3 linked regions of the Callithrix jacchus genome follow. The protein of the gene in region 1 binds, or shares a complex with, the protein of each later gene. Links are inferred from orthologs where the notes say so. Each region holds a gene or a part of one and is shown on either strand. Other genes may lie near its edges.

Region 1 (5,924 bases):
TCCTCTTGCTCTGGGGTTGGGGAGAGACCCAAGCAGCCTGGGGCTGGGTGTCTCAGCCTCCCAGGGGGAGAGGACAGGCACCTAACAAATGGCTTTTTATTTCCACAGATCCGGAACATGGTGGCGGTGCTGGAAGTCATCTCCAGCCTGGAGAAATACCCCATTACCAAAGAGGCACTTGAGGTGAGTATCCCACACCCCAGCATGGGGGAGGGCAGAACGGGGGGCAGGGGGCGGCTCCAAACCAGGTCCTTGGGAACATCAGTCTCTTTGCTTCAGAGGACCAAGAGAGGCAGTGTGCCGTCACAGCATGTGCCCCACGATCATGGTCTCCCATGGGCACTGCAGGGACGGAGTGATGTTAATCCCATCCTGCATGCCCACTTTGTGGGCACGTGGGGGACATCGGGAGAGGTGTGCTTGGGGAAGGCTCCAGTGAGTGGCACCATCCCCAGCCCTCCACTTGAAGCAGGCCCTCTGTGCTGTCACCTTGGCAACGGCACCCTCTCACCCAGAAAGCCTCTCTGGCAGTGTCCTTGCAGTGACCTGACGGGCCACAGCCCCCTGGCACCGGAAGCACTGCCAAGAAGCCACCTGTGACCCTTAAGGTCTGGGGACTGGGTTCAGAAAATATTGTCACAAAGGGCCAGAAATCCCCAGAGGTTGTGTCGGGGAGCTGGCAGTTTAGGGCTCAGTGCGAATGGGGTCATTTCAGAGTCAGGGCCACTTCCCACCATTTCTGGCTCAGCTTGTGGGGAAGCCCCTGTCTTGAAAGTATGTCATCATCTCTTTCTGGTTGTAGGAAACACGGCTTGGGAAGCTCATCAACGACGTCCGCAAGAAAACCAAGAACGAGGAGCTCGCCAAGCGGGCCAAGAAACTACTTCGGAGCTGGCAGAAGCTCATCGAGCCAGCACACCAGCATGAGGTGGCACTGCGGGGGCTGGCAGGGGCCACCGGCTCTGCTAACGGGGGCGCACACAACTGCCGGCCAGAGGTCGGGGCGGCCGGCCCGCCCAGGAGCATCCACGACCTGAAAAGCCGCAATGACCTCCAGAGGCTGCCTGGGCAGCGGCTGGACAGACTGGGCAGCCGCAAGCGCCGGGGTGACCAGCGTGACCTTGGCCACCCGGGGCCGCCACCCAAGGTCTCCAAAGCTACCCATGACCCCCTGGTCCCCAACTCATCCCCCCTCCCCACCAATGGGATCAGTGGGAGCCCAGAGAGTTTCCCCGGCTCCCTGGATGGCAGCGGGCATGCAGGCCCGGAGGGCAGCCGCCTGGAACGTGGTGAGAACGACAAGCACGGTGGCAAGATCCCCATCAATGCCGTGCGGCCACACACCAGCTCCCCAGGCCTGAGTAAACCCCCTGGGCCCTGCTTGCAGGCAAAGGCTTCAGTGCTGCAGCAGTTGGACAGGGTGGACGAGACTCCAGGGCCTCCCCACCCCAAGGGGCCCCCTCGCTGCTCTTTCAGTCCTCGGAACTCACGGCATGAGGGCTCCTTTGCCCGGCAGCAGAACTTGTATGTACCTAAGGGCTCCATGCCCAGCCCCTCACCACGGCCCCAGACACTTGATGCCACACAGGTGCCGTCACCGCTTCCACTGGCACAGCCGTCCACACCCCCTGTGCGGCGGCCTGAGCTGCTGTCCAGCTCGGAAAGCCCAGTACGCTGGCTTGAGCAGCCTGAGAGCCACCAACGGCTGGCAGGGCCAGGCTGCAAGGCTGGGCTATCCCCGGCCGAGCCCCTCCTGTCCCGGGCAGGCTTCTCCCCAGACTCCTCCAAGGCGGACAGTGATGCTGCCTCCTCTGGGGGTTCGGACAGTAAAAAGAAGAAGAGGTACCGGCCTCGAGACTACACGGTTAACTTGGACGGGCAGGTGGCCGAGGCGGGCGTCAAGCCTGTCCGGTTAAAAGAGCGGAAGCTCACCTTTGACCCCATGACAAGACAGATCAAACCTCTGACCCAGAAAGAGCCAGTGCGGGCAGACAGCCCTGTGCACATGGAGCAGCCGTCCAGGACAGAGCTGGACAAGCAGGAGGCCAAGGCCAGCCTCCAGAGCCCCTTCGAACAGACGAACTGGAAGGAGCTGTCACGCAATGAGATCATCCAGTCCTACCTGAGCCGGCAGAGCAGCCTGCTCTCATCTTCGGGCGCACAGACCCCGGGGGCTCACCACTTCATGTCTGAGTACCTGAAGCAGGAGGAGAGCACCCGGCGAGGGGCCAGGCAGCTGCACGTGCTGGTGCCTCAAAGCCCGCCCACGGACCTCCCTGGGCTGACCCGGGAGGTCACACAGGACGATCTAAACAGAATCCAGGCCAGCCAGTGGCCGGGGGTGAACGGGTGTCAGGACACACAGGGTAACTGGTATGACTGGACGCAGTGCATATCGCTCGATCCTCACGGTGACGATGGGCGCTTGAACATTCTGCCTTATGTCTGCTTAGACTGACCGGCCCGTCAGCCACAAAGTGCATTCCCATCTTGCAGAAGCCAGGCGGGCAGGCAGGTGGGCGGGTGGCCAGGGCCCAGCTGCCTCCTGCGGCTGGGAACTCGGGGAGCCCGGCCTGGGCAGGAGGGAGGGGGCGGGAGTCATGTGGTCTCTCTGTGCACCCTTCCCTCAAAACTCTCCTTTTGTGAAATGCTGCTACCAGTTTACTAACAAAATTGCGAAGGAAGGACCGTGCGGAAGGAAGGACGGCAAAGTGAGTTCAGAACTCTATAGCAAACCAGCTATAAAAAGCGTTAGTCCCTCACCCCTGAAGAGGTGCGGACACTTTCCAGCACCTGAATGCTGGGACCTCAGTTGCAGGCAGGCACAGAAAACCTGTGGGAGAGGTTACCTTTAACACAGCAACAGAAGCACGCATCTCATCTCTCTTGCATTTCCTGTTCTTTAATTTGGCCCCGAGTGTCTGAGAGACAGTGGGCCATGCCACAGCCTCTGTTTGCCCCTACCCAGCCACTGTCAGGCCAGTGTTGTCCATCGTGTGCCAGAAGCTCCTCAGCTGTGGCGAGCCACTGGCATTGGGCAGAGAGGCCAGCTGGCTAACCAATATGACCCCAACTCCATGGGCAGCCACCTGTTTATATCTGGTTTCAGTTATAACCCAGTATTTACAGAAATGCTGCAGAAATTTAAGTTTTTTTGGGTTTAACTCCTCTTCCATCAGACCACCAAACAAACTTTTCCTTTCTTCCCCCCTTTCCTTTTTTCCCTTCCTGTACACATCTAGAAAACTTCACCTTTCTAGAGTCCCCCCTAAACAACACAAAAGTTACTGTGGGTGCTACTGGTTTTATGCTGTACTGTGGGGCGAGAGGGCAGACCTGTCTGTACGCTGGAAACACTCATAACCATTCCTTTAGATTCGTTTGCCTTATGGTTATTTGTCATAAACGCGATTTGCAAAAACAAGGAGCCTTAGTGAATGTACAGTACATAGACTTCTGTGTTCTCAGGACGCAGAAGGGAGCAACTTTGCTATTTGGTCCAGTAAGTGGACACCTTGTGATATAAATGTGGAAATAAAAAAACCCATTTGCACAAACCAGTATGAGAATCTTTTCTTATTTGGCCCTTCACTGCCAAATCAGCCCTTTCCTGGATTGTGGATTAGCCAGGAAGACCTAGACCCTCCAACAGCTGGGATATAGGGAGACAGGGTAGGGCATAGCCTTGAAATCCACCTGTTAGCCTGCTGCTGCATTTGGGAGGAACCTTTTATTCATTCAGGGGCACATTAAGGAACGTTTATCTTGTCTCACCCAGACCTGACTGGCGTAGAGAGCAGGCTCCATAGCACAGGTCTCTGACTACTCCCACCTCAACAAAGTTCTTACAAGGGATGGCCCAGAGGCTCAGAGCTGTGTGTGTGTCCGGCAGCCCAGCCCTTGGCCCTGGCCCTCAGCTGCCTTACTAGCTGGTTGGTGCTGACACCAAAAAAATGTTTCTCTCTTGGCTATGGAGTGGTAATATTTTAGTTGTCCCTCATCCCCAAAACTGTAAGCTAAGACTGGTTTTCTAGTTTCTCACTTTGGAATAGGTCATCTTACCTATATCTGCTTAATTTCACAAATGAAAAAACAGCTACATCTTAAGACATGCAGCACTACAGAGCAAACCAAAGGTTCCTTTCAGCCTGTAAAACTCCATTCAGCCCAAAGCCAGTTTCAGAGCTAGCAGGGATTTCTGGCAAAAGCTTGGTGCCAGGACACACCCCTTCCCCAAGAAAAGGCCATGGGCGGAGTGGCTTTGAAGGCAGGATGAGGTTGAACCCAGGCTGCCACCCACTAGCTGTGTGTCCGAACCATCTCTTCACTCCTATGCACATGTCCCCATTTGGGGGGTGAAAATACCCCAGAGTTAAGAGAACTAAAAGTATGTCAGTGGAAGTGTCTGACACTCAGCTGTGCTGTAGGGTGCCTGTAGTTATACCACTGTGCCCGTGTTTAACAGCTCTGCTGATATGTGGTGTCCCAAGGACGTGACATTGCTCTGATACACAGGGCACAGCTGGAGGATATTAGGGTGCAGAGCTTGGCTTCCTACCGGCATCTCTAGAGCTTTGGGATGGGCTGCAGCTCCCCCTGCCCCTGCCTGCAGGGACTACCACACCTGTCTCCATGTATCCAGGAGGGCCTAGGGGGGTACTAATGTTGCTACCTTTGAGAAGGCAAGGGTAAGCTAAGATACCCTACATTTGGGGGACCAAGTTGGGTTGCTGCTTTCTTCTTTGAGACCAGGTCTCGCTCTGCCACCCAGGCTGGAGTGCAGTGATGCCATTATAGCTCACTGCAGCCTTGACCTGGGATCAAGCCAGCCTCAGCCTCCCTAGGAGTGGGGACCACAGGCATGCACCACCACACGTGGCTAATTTTGGTATTTTTTGCAAAGACGAGGTTTTGCCATGTTGCCAAGGCTGATCTCCAACATCTGAGCTCAAGCAATCCGCCCGCCTTGGCCTCCCAAAGTGCTGGGATTACAAGCTTGAATCACCCTGCCCAAGGTTACTGCTTCTAATTGGACAAGTAAAAACACTGTAACGAAATTTTAACACACTCTCCCCGAAAAAGTTGGAGTCACACGATTTGGGGAACAAAATTATCGTCCTTGAATTAGTATAAGTTCATCTTCCTGAAAACCTCGACTGTTTTCCTCCACTGGGGCCAGGGGCTGGTCCATCCCTCTTGGTCCTTGGGCATCAGGGGTCAGGGCTTGGCACCTCCTCTTTCTGCAGAGCCTTGGAGACAGGTGTCCAAGGACGCTGCCATGGCCACGGTCCCGAGTGGCAGGGGAGCCTAAGACAAGTAGCTTCCCCATTCTGGTCTTCGGTCTGTGAAATGGGGATAGTGATACCTACCGCACGGCCTTCCTAGTATTCAGTGGAATGATACCAGGGCCAGACCCGAGAACTGCGCACGTCGCGGTGGTTTCCAGAACACAATTTCAGGGACCAGGCGCTCCGGGATAGTCCCACTGCCAGAGTTGGCCACGGGCGTGCACCCCCACTTTGCAGAGCGAGTTTAGCCCAAGAGCTTTTCACAACTGGTTTCTTTCCCCAAAAGGTCTTTTACCTTAGATGTCCGCCGCCGCCAGCCACTAGGAATCAGGAATCTAGTTAGGGGGTGCCCATGTACCCCTCGTCGAGGCCCTGATGTTTGGCCCACGCACAGACGCCAACGATGCGAAGCCCTCCTCACTCCTGCTCGCCAGATCCGCTCGAGCTCTGGCTCCGGGTCACCGGGACCGCCCACGTCTCGGGTAGCACAGCTTGGACCCAGGTCTGCGTCCCCTTCTTTCGCTTCCGGCCTCGGCTCCGCCCTTACCGGAAGCGCATCTACAGTGGGCGGGGCCTGCACTAGAGACGTGATGGCTGGTGCGTCGGCCGGCGCGGGGGAATGACGCAAAGAGTCAG
Region 2 (7,861 bases), on another chromosome or scaffold:
AACTCACCAAGACTCTGTTGTGCTGGTCACCTAACTTATTTATAAAAGTTCTACTCAATACTATCATTATATAAATAGCTATTACCTAAATACCAATGAAATATGATTGTGAATAGAAAGAGCTCTTTCTATAAAAACCTAAGCCTAATGCTTGGAAAGACTCAATAGAGGCTTGCAAAGGACCGCTATAAAGAAAGGATCAGGGAAAAGTCATAAAAACTCAGAAGGAGTCTGCCCTAAGACTGCTTGATGAAAGGCTAAGTTCTCATTTTGATTTGATCTAGAAATCAAACTAGAACTTGTAGACAATGCATTATGAGTGATTTATGCAAGAAAAACTCCTATATCTGGGGTCTACAAGCCAAATCCAGCACATCTGCGGTTTCTGTAAATATCATTCTCCTAAGACAGTCTGCTCATTATACATATTATCTATGGCAGTTTTCCCAATACAGAGGCAGAGTTGAGTTGTTACAGCAGAGACTATATGGCCCATAAACCCAAAAGTATTTATTACCTAGCCTTTGCAGAAAAAGTTTTCTGACTCCTGTCTAACATAACATGATTAGTGAATGAATATATGTTATATATTTTAAGGTAAAATACGACAATTAAGGGATGTGTGGATCATTTTTTAATGATTCTCCACTTTATTTGAATTTTAAAAAATATATTTTATTGCGTTTTAGGTTTTGGGGTACATGTGAAGAACATGCAAGACTGTTGCATAGGTACATACATAGCAATGTGGTTTGCTGCCTTCCTCCCCATCAGCTATTTCTGGTATTTCTCCCCATGTTATCCCTCCCCAACTCCCCAGCCCGAATTTTTAAAATTAATCATCTATCAGCTAAGAGGGATTTTTACACATAAAAAAATGACATCCTTTTAGAATGTTCACTTAATAAATACGCCAGTTTCCCTATATGAAAATTAGTATCTGATCAGGAAAATAAGATTGGGAAACAGTATAGCAGGTAATGTTTATATATTAGTTTCAAACTTATTGATAGATGAGACTTTTGAGAAATTATGCAGGAGGGGCAGCTGCACAACTAGCTACATGACACTGCTCTGATCAGACCAAGTGTTCGTACTTTCTCACTGGCTACCAGGCTATTTTTACCTTCAAATTTCCACCTTCCTTCCAGCTAGCCTCATACCATTTTTCTGGACCATGTCATAACTGGACCCAACCCTTCTTCCCACTACTACTTTCCCATACCATTATTTATGAATTAATCAATGAATGAAAAAAGTAGATATAAGAATGCAAAGTCTTCATTCAGTAATTCATCAAATATTTATTGAGTGCCTATTGTGTGCCAGGCACTTTCTAGATACTTAAGGTATCAAAGTGAAGAATGACATTTAAATTCTAATATAGGAGACAAGAATAACTAAGAGAAGAAATAAAACTAGAGTGATAAGGGCTGGGAAGGAAATAAAGTGGTGTTTTATTAGCGACTACTGAGTAGGCTGGCTACTTAAATAGGGTGGTCAGAGGGCAGAGCTTTGATATAAGACACGGATTAAATGAAAAACGTCAGCCAAGAGATCTGGGAGGAAAGAGCATGGCAGAAGACACAGATAGTTCAGTGGCCCAAAGATGGGATCTGAGGAGATGTAGCCAGGGCAGAGTACACTAGGGAGACGGATGCAAAGTGAGGATGTAGCAGCCAGGTAGCCAGGGGTGGGATTATGCACCCCTTGTAGTTAAGGTAAAGATTAGTGTTTCATTCTAAATGCAATGAAAGGCCACTCGATCATTTTAAACAGGGAAATGGCAGGATCTGATTTATACATTTAAACAACTACTGAGCTATTTGGTAAACAGACTATAAGAGGGCCAGAACAGGAAGCTAGGTGGTTTTTGTAGTGTTCCAGGCAAAAAAGAAAAAAAAAAAAAGATACTGATTTTGACTAGGTCCTAGCCCCAGGACTTAGTAATGGTGACGGGAGAAACATGGACAGATTTCATACATCTTTTGGAGGTAGAGCTAACAGGACCGGCTGATGGATTTAATCAATGGTGTATGAAAACAGCATGTTATGTCAACCTTTTCGTGTATGCTGTAAGTGAGACATAGAGAGTTGAGAACCTCTGGTCTAAGTAAAAGCTGGTTTCAGGTGGGGTAAGGGTGGTGCTCACTGGAGTGGGGCTATGGCAGGAGATGTGGGATAAGCCTTTCTCTGTTCTTGCAAATCTGGGAGTATGAGTCTACAGAAAGCTTTATAAGGCTTGATTTAGGGACAGGAGTACAGGGGAGGTAGAAGTCTCTAAGACTTAATCATGTTCTGTAACAGTCCAGGACAAGATGGAAACCTATGTCCTCTCCAATCGTGGAAAAAAGGCCAAAGAAAGCCCACACTCATTCTGTCTGGTTAAAGATGTGGAAATTAGAGCCCTGTCCTGCTACAAAGAAGGTGCATTCCTGGTATACTACATTAGAATCCAGCCCCATTTCCCCACAGAAATAAAATTTCCATAGGGGTTAGAGCCTACATTATTAGTGGCAATACACTTTTCAGGTAAACAGAATTAACAGGCTGGTGTGGAAATCTCAAGACTCCTATCAACATGGTTCTGCGGGACAATGAGTTCTGAGTTACAAACAGGTTAAGAGAAATCGTTTAGTGCCCGGGCTCGGTGGCTCACACCTGTAATCCCAGCACTCTGAGAGGTTGAGGTGAGTGGATCACAAGGTCAGGAGTTCAAGACCAGCCTGGCCAAGATAGTGAAACCTCATCTCTACTAAAAATACAAAAATTAGCCAGGTATAGTGACAGGTGTTTGTAATCCCAGCTATTCAGGAGGCTGAGGCAGGAGAATCTCTTGAACCTGGAAGGCAAGGGTTGCAGTGAGCCAAGACCATGCCACTACACTCCAGCCTGGGTGACAGAGCGAGACTCTGTCCCAAAAAAAAAAAGAAAAAAGAAAAACGTTTAGCTACAACTTGTGTTTCAACTTTTTAAATTCCTCCAAAGACTACCTCCTCCAATTACATTTTACAAAGTAATAAATATCCTGAAAGGCTACATAATCAGGTTAATAGTTTTAAAAAAAAAAAAACAGGGAGGGATAACATGGGGAGAAACGCCAGATATAGGTGATGGGGAGGAAGGCAGCAAACCACATTGCCATGTATGTACCTATGCAACAATCTTGCATGTTCTTCACATGTGCCCCAAAATCTAAAACGCAATAAAATATGTATTAAAAACAAAACAAAAAAACCCTAAGTTACGAATCCACTGTTTTTAAAGATGCTCAACCTAAAAATATGTAAGGTACATTTGTGAATTTTCTTCTCATTTTCATAAATGCAATCCAGACACAAATTCCATTCAGAAACTGACAAACTTCACAGATCACAGAATCGGTACACATAACTATGTCTGAGTGAGCACACGACACTTTTCTGGAAGTCATTCACATCAGAGCAGTTTCATTCTGTGAAGAAGTTCCAACAATCCACTCACCTTGGCCTCCCAAAGTGGTGGGATTACAGGCATGAGCCACCATACCCGGCCCTAATACAGTTTATTTTAAACAGTGGATTAAACACATAGCCATTTAATTTCTGGTGTCTATGTGTTTTAGGGTTCTCTTCCATCATTAAATATCATGCTGACCTGGTAACTTGGTAGTAATGTTGTGGCAAAGACTAAATTTAACACCATAAAGTGCCGATTATAAGTAGATCAGGTATATTTTAAAATACAATAGATAAGATTTATTCTAAAGCTGTCAAAGAATGTTGGCTACAGAAAAGGTGACATTTGAGCTGGATTCTGAAGGATAAATGAATCATCCACCAAATTGAGGGTAGACTGGGATTTGCACTGAAGATGTGTAAGTCTGGCTAAGGAATTTGAACTTTACCTCACTGGACAATGCAAACCTACCAACGATATAGGTTTTATATCATTTTTCTGCAGTAAAATGATATAACATGCCTTTTAAAACTGGTCTCGGCCAATATAAAAGGATAAAGTGCAGAAGCATGAGGCAATTAAAACTGGGAGGCTGCATTTAAGTAGCAGTTATTAACAGCGGAGTAGATACGAGACGGCAACTCTGAGTCACATTTTAGGAGGTAGAAGAACCAAGATAATTTACCACGCAAGCCAATGTGAGAGAGTCAAGGAAGACTTCAACTTGAGATACTTATCATGAAAAGTAACAGAATATGAAGAGTGACATCTAATTTCGTCTCCTACCTCTGCCACACAACCATCCCAAACAATTTGCAACCCCACCAAGCCAGGCTTTTGCACATGCCGTTCCATCTACCTGCTGCCTAGTGAGTCTGCCAGCTCATGCTTCCCAAGCAGCCCTTTCTTCAGGGTGCCTGTGTGCAGCCCTCTAATAAAACAGGCCCCACTCCAGTTTACACATCTGTCTGTCTCTGGCATCCAGCCTACCCTTCAAGACCCCAGTGGCTGGCACCCAAGGGGCGTTCCATAAATGTTAAGTGGCCGGCCGTGGACGAAGGGGGCTCCGACCGCGCAATTTCTTAATTTCCACGATTACTATCATTATTAAAATTCCCTCTATCGGGAAAAACCGCCGCCCAGAGTGCCAAAGGGCTGCGGACCCCACGTCCAGGACCATCGTGCACCCGAAACTCCCGCGCCGGCCCTCCCCGCCAAGCGCAGAGAACTAGCGCAAATCAAGGGCCGGCCGGGGTCAGTTCCCCGGCCCAGCTCCAGCCCGGCTCTAAGGCTCGAGCCATTACCTAGACAGGACTTCCAAATCCTCAAGCGCAGACAGCAGCCGCTCTCGTGTGCTGTTACCACTTGCCACTCCCAAGCCGCCTCCCAGCCGCTCCTTCTCCTTCTCACCACTCGAAGACGCAGCCATACTCCCGACCGTCCCGCCGCTGGCGCACGCGCAGTGCATGCTGACGCAGGGGCGTGGCGGGTAGGCAGGCTCGGAAGGCAGAAGAGTCACCCAGTGAAGGAATGAAAGCCCTGGCGAGACCGCCCCCTGTGCGCCTGGAGGCGCACTGCGGACACCGGCGCCATCTGCTGGGCCAGCGAGGGCTTTCCGGTAGAAACCTTGGGAGCGACAGCCGAACCGAGAACAAGGGGTAGACCAGAGTCTGATTCTCCTGGGCATAATGTTTTTTTCTTTCTTTTCTTTTCTTTTCTTTTCTTTTCTTTTCTTTTCTTTTTTCTTTTCTTTTCTTTTCTTTTCTTTTCTCTCTTTTCTTTTCTCCTCTCCCCTCCTCCCCTCCCCTCCCTTCTCCCTCCCCCCTCCCCCCTCCCTTCCCCCCTCCCCATCCCTCTCCCTCTTACCTCCCCTCCCCTCCCCCTCCCCATCCCTCTCCCTCTTACCTCCCCTCCCCTCCCCCTCCCCATCCCTCTCCCTCTTCCCTCCCCTCCCCTCCCCCCTCCCCATCCCTCTCCCTCTTCCCTCCCCATCCCTCTCCCTCTTACCTCCCCTCCCCTCCCCCCTCCCCATCCCTCTCCCTCTTCCCTCCCCTCCCCCCTCCCCATCCCTCTCCCTCTCCCTCTTCCCTCCCCTCCCCCCTCCCCATCCCTCTCCCTCTTCCCTCCCCTCCCCTCCCCCCTCCCCATCCCTCTCTCTCTTCCCCTCCCCTCCCCCCTCCCCATCCCTCTCCCTCTTCCCTCCCCTCCCCCCTCCCCATCCCTCTCCCTCTTCCCTCCCCTCCCCTCCCCCCTCCCCACCCCTCTCTCTCTTCCCCTCCCCTCCCCCCTCCCCATCCCTCTCCCTCTTCCCTCCCCTCCCCTCCCCTCCCCTCTCCTCCCCTCCTTTCCTCCTTTCCTTCCTTTTCTCTCTCCCTACCCCCCGCCCTCTCTCTCTCTCTCTTTCCTTCCTTCTTTTTTTTTTTTTTTTTTTGACGGGTTTCACTCTGTTGCCCAGACTGGAGTGCATGGTTGCAATCTCGACTAGCTACAGTCTCCGCCTCTCCGGTTCAAGCGCTTCTCCTGCGTCAGCCTAACGAATAGTTGGGATTACAGGCACGTGCCACGCTTCCAGCTAATTTTTGTATTTTTGGTACAGATAGGGTTTCGCCATGTTGGCCATGCTGGTCTCGAACTCCTGACTTCAAGTGATCCACCCCCCCACCCCCCTTGGCTTCCCAGAATGCTGGGGTTATAGGCGTGAGTACCCATGCCTGGCCCTGGGCCTAGTGTTTCTCAAGCAGCCATGAGAAGCTTCTGTGAAGTGACTTTTAAGCCTTTGAGGGAATTACATAATGGTCTCCATCTTATGTTAGTTTCCTCATGAGATGGGCCGGGGTCTCCGCAGACAGTGTTAACCTTTCTTTTGCCTCAATTTCCATACTGCTGTTCCAACTCTCCTGTCTGCCTCTCCTGCAGGCTGTAGCAAGCACCCTAGGACAGAACCATAATCAAAATTTCCCCCATTTAAAAAAGTGTGGTAAAACATACACAACATAATATTTACCACCTTAATTATTAAGTGGATAGTTCAGTGACATTAAATACATTCATGCTATTGAGCAACCACCCATCTCCAAAACCTTTCATCTTGTAAAACAAACTCTGTACTCACTAAATGTTAACTCTCTGTCCTTTCTTTCCCCAGGTCCTGTCAACCACCATTCTACTTTCTGTCTCTGTAAGTTTGGCTACTCTAGGTATCTCGTATGAGTAGAATCATACAGTATTTGTCTTTTTGTGTCTGGCTTATGTCACTTAGCATAATGTCGTCCAGGTTCATCCATGACATAGCCTGTGCTGGAATCTCTTTCCTTTTTAAGACTGAACAATATTCCATTGTATGTATACACCTTGTGTCTATCCATTCATCTGACGATGAACAGTTGAGTTGCTTCCACATTTCTGTAATCCATCTTTATAGCCATACGTCTTCCAACAAAATGTTTTGCTCATTACTCAGGATAATTATTGAACTGAAGAAATCAATACAATACATAAGTGGTAGTAACTTAAAATAGTTTTAAGTCATTGATGTAGCACACATTCCAAACCAGCACTGGTTGTCAACGGCAAAATACACCTTAGCCTCCTTTTCCTGGGGATAATAATGTAGTAAAGATCGCTCTCTACCAGAAAAAAATCGAAGTTACAAGCCTATTGAGAATGAGGACTCCATATTGCTATTATAAAAGACAGTCTGGGGCTGCCTCCCTTTCATGAGGCAGTAGTTCCTGCGGTCCTTTCACTTCAGGGGCTCATCCTCTACTCTGTCTTTTTGGAGGTGCTGAGCCTGACTCCTCCTGGGCACCCAGAGTTGACAACTCTTTCAGAGACTCAAGTTAAATAAATTTACTCATAGAAACTGCTGCATAATCTGGAATGCTGATTTACTCATGATGAAATGTAATAGTGTTAAACATAATTTTTCCCATAGACAAACCTACAGGAGAAGCCATATTATCACAGGATGTTGCTTGTTAAACTTGGATCAGAACAAACAAGGATAGATTAAAAATTAATGATGTAATCATGAGGCTTGGTATCTCCACAGTATAGGGATATTTGCATTCAAGAGAATGAATTATTTCTGTTCATAGGTCGGGGTACCTTCTCCCCTAGACAGTGCAAGAGATCCTTCTCACCTTTTGTTTTCTGACAGTTCCCGACATCTGCTGTTGGCTAACCCTTTTTTGTTAACGCAGTCAATTCTCAGGCAATGAGTTAAAGTAGATTGAAGCTTTGTTCATTACACTTACATTCTAAGCATGCCTCCCAGTACCCTAGTCAATCATTTCTTATGTTTAGTTTCTAAGGTGCCAAACTTCTGCAGTATGTGTTAGTTTTGTTTACTGAACTCTCACAGGGTCGTATTGGGCCATGACTTGGTAGGGGGAGAGAGAACAGTATGTTAGTGTAAATATAA
Region 3 (7,659 bases), on another chromosome or scaffold:
CAAAGAAAATGATAAGCTAGGCCAGGGCACGGTGGCTCAGGTCTGTAATTCCAGCACTTTGTGAGGCCAAGGCCAGCGGATCACCTAGGTCAGGAGTTCGAGACCAGCATGGTGAAATTCTGTCCCTACTAAAAATACTAAAAAATTAGTAGGGCATGGTGGCAGGCGCCTGTAATACCAGCTGCTCAGGAGTTTGAAGCAAGAGAATCACTTGAACAAGGGGGCAGGAGGTCACGGTGAGCTGAGACTGCACCACTGCACTCCAGCCTGGGCAACAGAGGGGGACTCCCATCTCAAAAAAAAAAAAAAAAAAGAAAGAAAAAAAAAAGAAAATGATAAGCTATATAAACACTTGGTATAAACTCAATAAACACATACTATCCTAAACCTTTGCCCATTCTTCTCACAAAAAATAGGTCCAACCTTCTTCCCAATGAGTACTTCAAGCAACATGGACAGCAAAATATTTGTAGCATATAGGCCTAAGGTACATTATTGTCTCTTTAAAATTATGAACTCATCACACATACAAATGGCTCTTTAAAACGGTCCAGTAAACTGCTACACTATGCCTTAAATTGCTGTCTATTATGTACTTAAAAATATTTACTAGCAATTGGAGGTTAATACGGCAACTATTATGGGTGGCAATTATTGCTATTAAAAATATATAAATACTGTAACACCACGTGCTACTAACAACAAAATACTAAACAGAAAACATACATTAACAGATTGTAAATATTTTCATTAAAGAAAATGAGGGCTGGGCGAGGTGGCTCACTTCTGTAATCCCAGCACTTTGGGAGGCCGAGGCAGGTGGATCACCTGAGGTCAAGAGTTCAAGACCAGCCTGACCAACACAGAGAAACTGCATCTTGACTAAAAATACAAAACAAGCCGGGCGTGGTGGCGCATGCCTGTAATCCCAGCTACTCAGGAGACTGAGGCAGGAGAAGTGCATCAACCTGGGAAACAGAGGTTACCAGTGAGCCAAGAGCGTGCCACTGCATTCCAGCCTGAGCAATAACAGCAAAACACTAAGAGCAAAACTCCGTCTCAAAATATAAAGAAAATGAAAATAAACCACCATGTAAAAAAAGATGCTTTCAACATAAATTATAAAATTACAATAAATTGGGAAGGAAAAACACCCTGTGTATAGTATTTTGGCACCTTGAAGATTAGAGAAATCAAGTCCCTTTTCCTCATTTCTATTTGATAGTCCACCCCATTTTGTTCTAGCTCCAAAAAATAAAAACCAGATTTCAAAGTTTCTACATTTACAACTATCTTCACTTTCTGCAAAAAAAACAAACCCCTTAAGACAAAAATAAATTAGGTCAACAACAGATTAACTTAAAAGCTTCAAATATAGAACTAATGGTCTTCAACAGGAATTATACACTAATGTGTGTACGCAATTAGTGTGTCTCAATTCAACAAGAATTTGAGATTATCACCCAGGTATCCATAGTCAGGAAGATTCTAAGCAATAAAACATGAACATGGAGCACACATATCTGAGAATTAGAGATCACTCCCTCATATCAAAGAGTACATACTTAAATATAGTTATAGGGTAGAAAATCACTTTCTCCATACTAACTCAATAGAGAAAAATAAATATACATGTAACATCTGGAAATTATGTCTTCCCACAAGAATGAGTTAACATAACATAGAGTATACTGTTACACTTTTCAAAAAGGCAGATTTAACACACTTTTAACTGAATGATTAACTGACTGAATATATAAAAAGTCGCCGGGAAACATGATGGACAGCATAAGAAAATAGTTTTGAGTTAGAAAGGTACAGCCAAGCATGCATTTAATACTGTAGCTACAAATCTCACAGCAGCAAGAATAAGAAACACATACAATGACCCATATCATATATACACAATGGTGTTTTTCACACATTAGGAAAAGGGAATGGATGTTGAAAAATTAATTTAGGAAATATTATTCCATGCAGTAAAAAAATTAGAAAATAAGTAAAAGACTAGCAAAAATCTTAAGGTGTCTGATTGCACAATCAACCTTCGGTAAGCCATAATGAACACCTCAAGGTAATATAAAGTGGGTGGGTATTACCATGGTACAGAACTTTAATCTCTTATTTCAATCTAATATGAGTATCTAGGTAAATTCTTTATAAATACCTTCCTCTGCTCAAAAATGAAACCCACAGGCCAAAAGAAAAAAATGCATGCTATTATTAAACACATAGTGTTCTTATAAAAAAACATGCTTTATTTTGAACAAGGAATGATTATATTTCCTTCAGAAGTAACTGTTCTATACAATGTAGTTTAGGCAATGTATTTTTAATATTTCAGGTTGCTGCTGCTGTATAGCATTTTCGAGAAAAAAAATCTCAATTTGAAATCGGAAAAATGTACAAGTCAGCAGTTTAATTAATTCAGTGTTTTAATAGCACCTTATCCACACTTCATGTACAAGAGAATGAAGACATTCCACGTTCCTTTAAAAATATCTATCACCTAAGCACTTCGATGGTTCTCTATTTCAAAGTTGCTACTTAAAAAATAACTTTAAAAAATTAGATTCAAAAATGAATCGTGGTTTTAAAGAGGTTTTGGGAGAAATATCTAAAACACAAACCTTTATAGTCAGTCAAAATCAAAGTATCCTCTCCTACAAATGGGTTTCTCCAAAAGAATCTCAAGCATTTTATCTCTGCACCATTATCATCCTTACTTAAGCTTTTTTTTTTTTTTTTTTTTTTTCAAAAAAAAAAAGATAAAACAAATGGTAAACCCTAAAGACTGGCTATACATACACTTTCATTTGTCTACAGAATCTGTAAATACACAGTCATTACCAGCCAGCATAGTATGTGATAATTTGGGAGATCTCTGTACTTGTTTATTGTAATTACCTGTGTCACTGTGGTCACCAGTCACCACACAAAAACCATTTTAAATACACTTTGATCAGTATGTTTTGCCAATCTATGAAAGTCCCTGAACCTGACTGATACTAAATGACAGACTGAGGAGGGAAAAGAGGCAAAAGAGGTTTCACTCCTACATACCAAAAGATCAAGGGAAAATTATTACAATACTAAGAGAAAGAGTTACAACTTATAATTGAATTTTGAGATTAAATATCTGGATTAAAATATTTCATAAAATTTACCTGATCTTACTAGAGCGGGAGCAATAATAATGTATCACTGGGTCTTTGTAGGTAAAAATCACGTGTTGGTTTTTTGATCTGCATAAATACTGTAACACGTTTAATAAAATAACACGTTTGGAAAGTTGGCAAGAATTTGCATTTCGCCATTAGTCTCATAGAAAAAAAGCATCCATGCCACCCATAATTAAATGTAACTAATTACAATTTGAACACTAAATTATTTATCCAGTGTAAACAAGGATTAAGAGGGAAATAATGCTTCTATCTACAGCGGGGGTTACAGAAAATAATTTCCAAAATGCATGCTCTCCAAAAAGGACTCACCTCCCCCACCCAAAAAAAAACCAGGGTACACAACTTAAAGTAAGTTGGGTGTTTTTAAGGCTAAATTAAATAAACCGTTCAGCCAATTTTCCAATTATATTCTACGCTTGAAACGTAATTGCCTTACATCTGTTTACAAATCTTCGCTCAATATTTAAACAAATTCGTACTCTCCCGGGCACATAGCTATACATACAGTAACTCATGCACAAAGCACATATTTAAAGACCACGCACTGCAATTATTAGCCTAAACGCCAGATTTAACAACGTGAATGTTTTCAGAGGTAATACGACCCAATAAAAAGCAAAGATGGCATTTACCACCAAATGTCACTGCCACCGCCAGGAAAGAGTTGCTGGGTCCCTATACATTTTTAATTTCGATGAATCTAGACGCCGTCGGCGGGTGCCAGGCTTCCACGAGAACAATTGACACCCTAACTGCTTCAAGATTAAGGCAGGCGATTCAAATCCGAAGGAAAAGTTGTCAATTATCAGAGAGAGAGCGCGAGAGGCGAAGGCAGATAAAAGCGATGTTATCAAACCGCCCAGCTTGTTGCTTTTTTGTGTGTGTGTCGATTCGTTGTTAGGATAGAGAAAACAGTTTTTAAAAAGACACCGGAGGAGAGAAAGAAAAAGCTTTCTCCACCTTCCGTCGGCTCGGTGCAATGGCTTTACGGCTCTCCACTGTAGTAAGCCCCGAGAGGCAGGCGGCTGTCGATGTTTACAATCGCGGGAGCTTCGGGTGCAAGAGTCCTTTCCTGACACAATCGCATTCAATCAACTGTTTTCGGGCGGAATTGCAGGTGTCATTATGGAATTTAAAAAAATTCAAAAGGCAGGCGGGCGGGCAGGCAGCCCGATTCGACAAGGGGGGAAGAGGTTGCCGATCGGAGGCGCGGGCAGCACAAGGCAAAGCCTTCCACATTTAGGGGGGAAAAAGGGGGAAAGGGGAGGAGAAGGGGAGTGCGATTGCAACAGAGGGTGGGCGTTCGAAGTGCGACCCAGAATCCGCAGCTCTGAGACTTCCACATGCAAATTCCACGCCGAGCGCCGCGCTCACAAATGATTTTTAAAGAGCCAAATAAACACTGGATGAGATCCAAGGCGAGGGAGAGACGATCCAAAAGGGGGAGAATCGGCGAGAGGCGAACAGCGGGGAGACGCGAGGGAGGGGCGAAGTCCCGGCGGCGGGAGGAGAAAGTTGGTCGGCGGCGGAGGTCGGGGACCCCCCCTCCCCGGCACAGCCCCCTCCCCGCAGCCCGGCTACTCACCAGCGAAAAGAGGTTGGAGTGACAATCCTCCAGGCTCGCCCCGTTCGCCACCCAGTTCGCTGCCGCAGTCATGATCCTCCGCGAGCCCGGCCGCCAGAGCGGGGCATGTCGGAGCGAGGCGTCCGAGGCGAGGTCGGGCCGGGCGGCGGCGCCTCGCCGAGGAGCGCGGGGCGGCCGGGCCGCCGCCGCCGCCGCCGCCGAGGGAGGGCGCGAGGGCCGGCGGGCAGGCGGGAGGCGCCGCGGCGACGCCGCGCCGGGGGCGGCGGGCCCGGGCCGGCGGGGGGGTCCGCGGCGGCCGCGCGGCTCCTTCCTGCTCGGGCGGCGGCGGCGGCGGCGGCTGCGGCGGCTTCGGCGGCGGCGGGGGGCGCTGTCCGCGCGGCCCGGCGCCCTCCCCGCCTCTCAGGGCCGCCGCTGCCTCCCGGGCCGGCTCTGCGGGCCGGCCGCCGCCTCCGCCTTCCCTGCTCCTCGGCCGCCGCCGCTGCTGCCGCTGCCGCTGCCGCCGCCTTGTTTATCTCCAGCCACCGACTCCCCCTCGGCCCCCGCCGGCGCGCGAGGGGAGGCGAGCCCCGGAGCCGCCGCCGCCGCCTCGGAGCCGCCGCCGCCGCGGAGCGCGAACTCGCGAAGGGGGGGGTGCGGACGAAGCCAGCGGGCGACCCCGGCAGCCGAGCGACGTCCCCTCCTTCCTCTTCCTCCCCACCCCCCCCTCCTCCCCAGTCAGCCTCGCTTCTCCTCCCTCCCCGGGCTAGCTCGCTCTGACAGCAATGGCGGCCGCCGACCGCGGCTCGGCCCGCCATTGGCTGGCGCCGGGTCACGTGACGGGCGCCGGCCGCGCGGGGGGAGCAGGAGGCGGGCGGGGGAGGGGTCCGGAGTGGCGGCGGCGGTGGCGGCTCGCGGGAGGCGCTGCTGAGCCGAGCGCGGCCGGGTCCTCAGGCCGGGAAGAGGGAGGGAGGGAGGGAGACGGAAAGGGAGAGAAAGAAGTGCGGGCGGCCGGGCTCCCGGCGGGCCATGGACTGCCGGCCTGTGGCTACCGTGGGCTGCCCCGCGTGGCCGCCCCACCCCCTCGCGGTGCACGGATCGTGGCGGGGCGGGACCATGGGTCCCGGGCGTACCCGGGGCGGCCACGGCGGAGGGCGAGGGTCCCCAGGCCTGTGTCCCCGCTCTCCAGGCCGGCTGGCGTGGCGCGGCGGCCGCTCAGTGGGCCAGGCAGGGGGTCCCAGTGCTCTGGGGAGTGTGTCCTCGAAGGCTCGCGCCGCGGTCCGCCTTTTAGAGAGGAGAAAACTGAAGCACAAAGGGATTAAGTCACTTGCCCGAGATCGCACACCTGGGAAAGAGGAGTCCGGATTCGAACCCGCGCACAGTAAAGCCAAGCTCTTGGACTAGGTTTCACAGGCTTCGCCCAGGGATATTCACGGCTGCCGTAGAGTAAGCGCTCACTGTGTTCCAGGCACTGTGCGTTTAATACGGAAATGTTTATTGAACCCTTACTCCTAGTTACTGTGTGCACTCATTCATTCATTCATTGCTTGTTTCCTGAGCTCCTGCTATAGTGCCAGAATCTGTTATAACTTCCAGGCGCTGTGTTAAGGCTGTGTTGGGAGCCTCCCTCTTAGCGGCACTCATTCAATAACCAACATTTCCTGAGAGTATGTGGTCTGGGAGTCCCGAGGAGTGCTGCTATGAAGAGAGGCTCTCCCAGTCCTCAAGAAACGGATCCCCAAAAATGTGGGGAGGAGAAAACAATGTCTTCACTAGTAAGCCTCCAAACATGCAACAGCCAGCTGTTTCAGGTGGAGTCGAGTAAAAGATGAAGAGTCGATGGCTGGCACAGTGGCTCACAATGGTAATCCTTAATCCTAATCAGAGGTTTAAAACAAGCCTGAGCAAAGTAGCAAGATCCCCCCGTCGCGTCAAAAATTAGCCAGGCATAGTGGCATGTGCCTGTAGCCCTAGCTACTCGAGAGGCTGAGTGGGGAGGATCACTTGAGCGCTGGAGGCACAGGCTGCAGTGAGCTGAGATCACACCACCGCACTCCAGCCTGAATGAAAGAGAAAGGCCCCTTCTCAAAAAAAATAAACAAATAATAGAGGAACCGTAGAAAGCAGGGGAAAGATGAGAGTGTATAATAAGAGGAAAGAAGTCTTAGACGCTTCAACTGAGCTTTGGAACTACCACAAATACTGCCAAAGCGAGACTCATGAACAACATGTTGTAATGTGTATTATCATGCAACATATTGTTAACAATGAATGTCCTTACCTATATTATTTCACATAATTGGCAGAACAACTACCTCAAGTAGATACTGTTATTATTCTTAGGCTGTAAGTAGGTAAATCTCAGAGGTGTGCAGTGACATCTCCAATCTCTCAGTTAGTGCACGGCCCAAACCCAGGGCCATCTGACTACAGAGCCCAGCATGAATTCAGGAGACTCCTTAGAAAGATGCCTCTGCTGGCTTTGCCATCCTTCTAATCGAATTACTTTGATCAACATAGTTTAACTCTCCTAGCCTCATTTCCTAATCTGTCAAAAATTGATCCTGATTGCTGGCCCACTGACCTCAGGACAATAGTGAGAATTTCTTCTAAGATATTGTTGATGGCTGCGCTAGGTGGCTCATGACTGTAATGCGAGCACTTTGGGAGACCAAGGCAGGCAGATCACCTGAGATCAGGAGCTCGAGACCAGCCTGGCCAACATGGGAAAACCCTGTCTCTAGTAAAAATACAAAAATTAGCTGGGTTTGGTGGCATGCACCTGTAGTCCCAGCTACTAGGGAGGCTGAGACAGGAGAATCACCTGAAACCAGGAGGCAGAGGTTGCCTTGAGCCAAGATTGAGCCACTATACTCTAGCCCAGGCAACAGAGGGAGACTCCATTCAAAAAAA

What was found. Proteins that work in one complex are often made in the same cells at the same time.
Region 2: MED26 (region 1) and MED4 share a complex: the UniProt entries of both Homo sapiens proteins name them as parts of the mediator complex. The link is inferred for Callithrix jacchus from reciprocal best matches to the Homo sapiens genes MED26 and MED4.
Region 3: MED26 (region 1) and MED13L share a complex: the UniProt entries of both Homo sapiens proteins name them as parts of the mediator complex. The link is inferred for Callithrix jacchus from reciprocal best matches to the Homo sapiens genes MED26 and MED13L.

What each region holds. Positions count from the first base shown.
Region 1 is NC_133523.1:15,189,436-15,195,359, reverse strand, and holds the end of MED26 (mediator of RNA polymerase II transcription subunit 26), read left to right. Parts: intron 1-108; coding exon 109-183; intron 184-802; coding exon 803-2,458; 3' UTR 2,459-3,557; downstream 3,558-5,924. UniProt on the Homo sapiens protein: Component of the Mediator complex, a coactivator involved in the regulated transcription of nearly all RNA polymerase II-dependent genes.
Region 2 is NC_133502.1:67,841,660-67,849,520, reverse strand, and holds the start of MED4 (mediator of RNA polymerase II transcription subunit 4), read right to left. Parts: upstream 4,905-7,861; 5' UTR 4,868-4,904; coding exon 4,743-4,867; intron 1-4,742. UniProt on the Homo sapiens protein: Component of the Mediator complex, a coactivator involved in the regulated transcription of nearly all RNA polymerase II-dependent genes.
Region 3 is NC_133510.1:119,301,162-119,308,820, forward strand, and holds the start of MED13L (mediator of RNA polymerase II transcription subunit 13-like), read right to left. Parts: upstream 4,905-7,659; 5' UTR 4,843-4,904; coding exon 4,771-4,842; intron 1-4,770. UniProt on the Homo sapiens protein: Component of the Mediator complex, a coactivator involved in the regulated transcription of nearly all RNA polymerase II-dependent genes.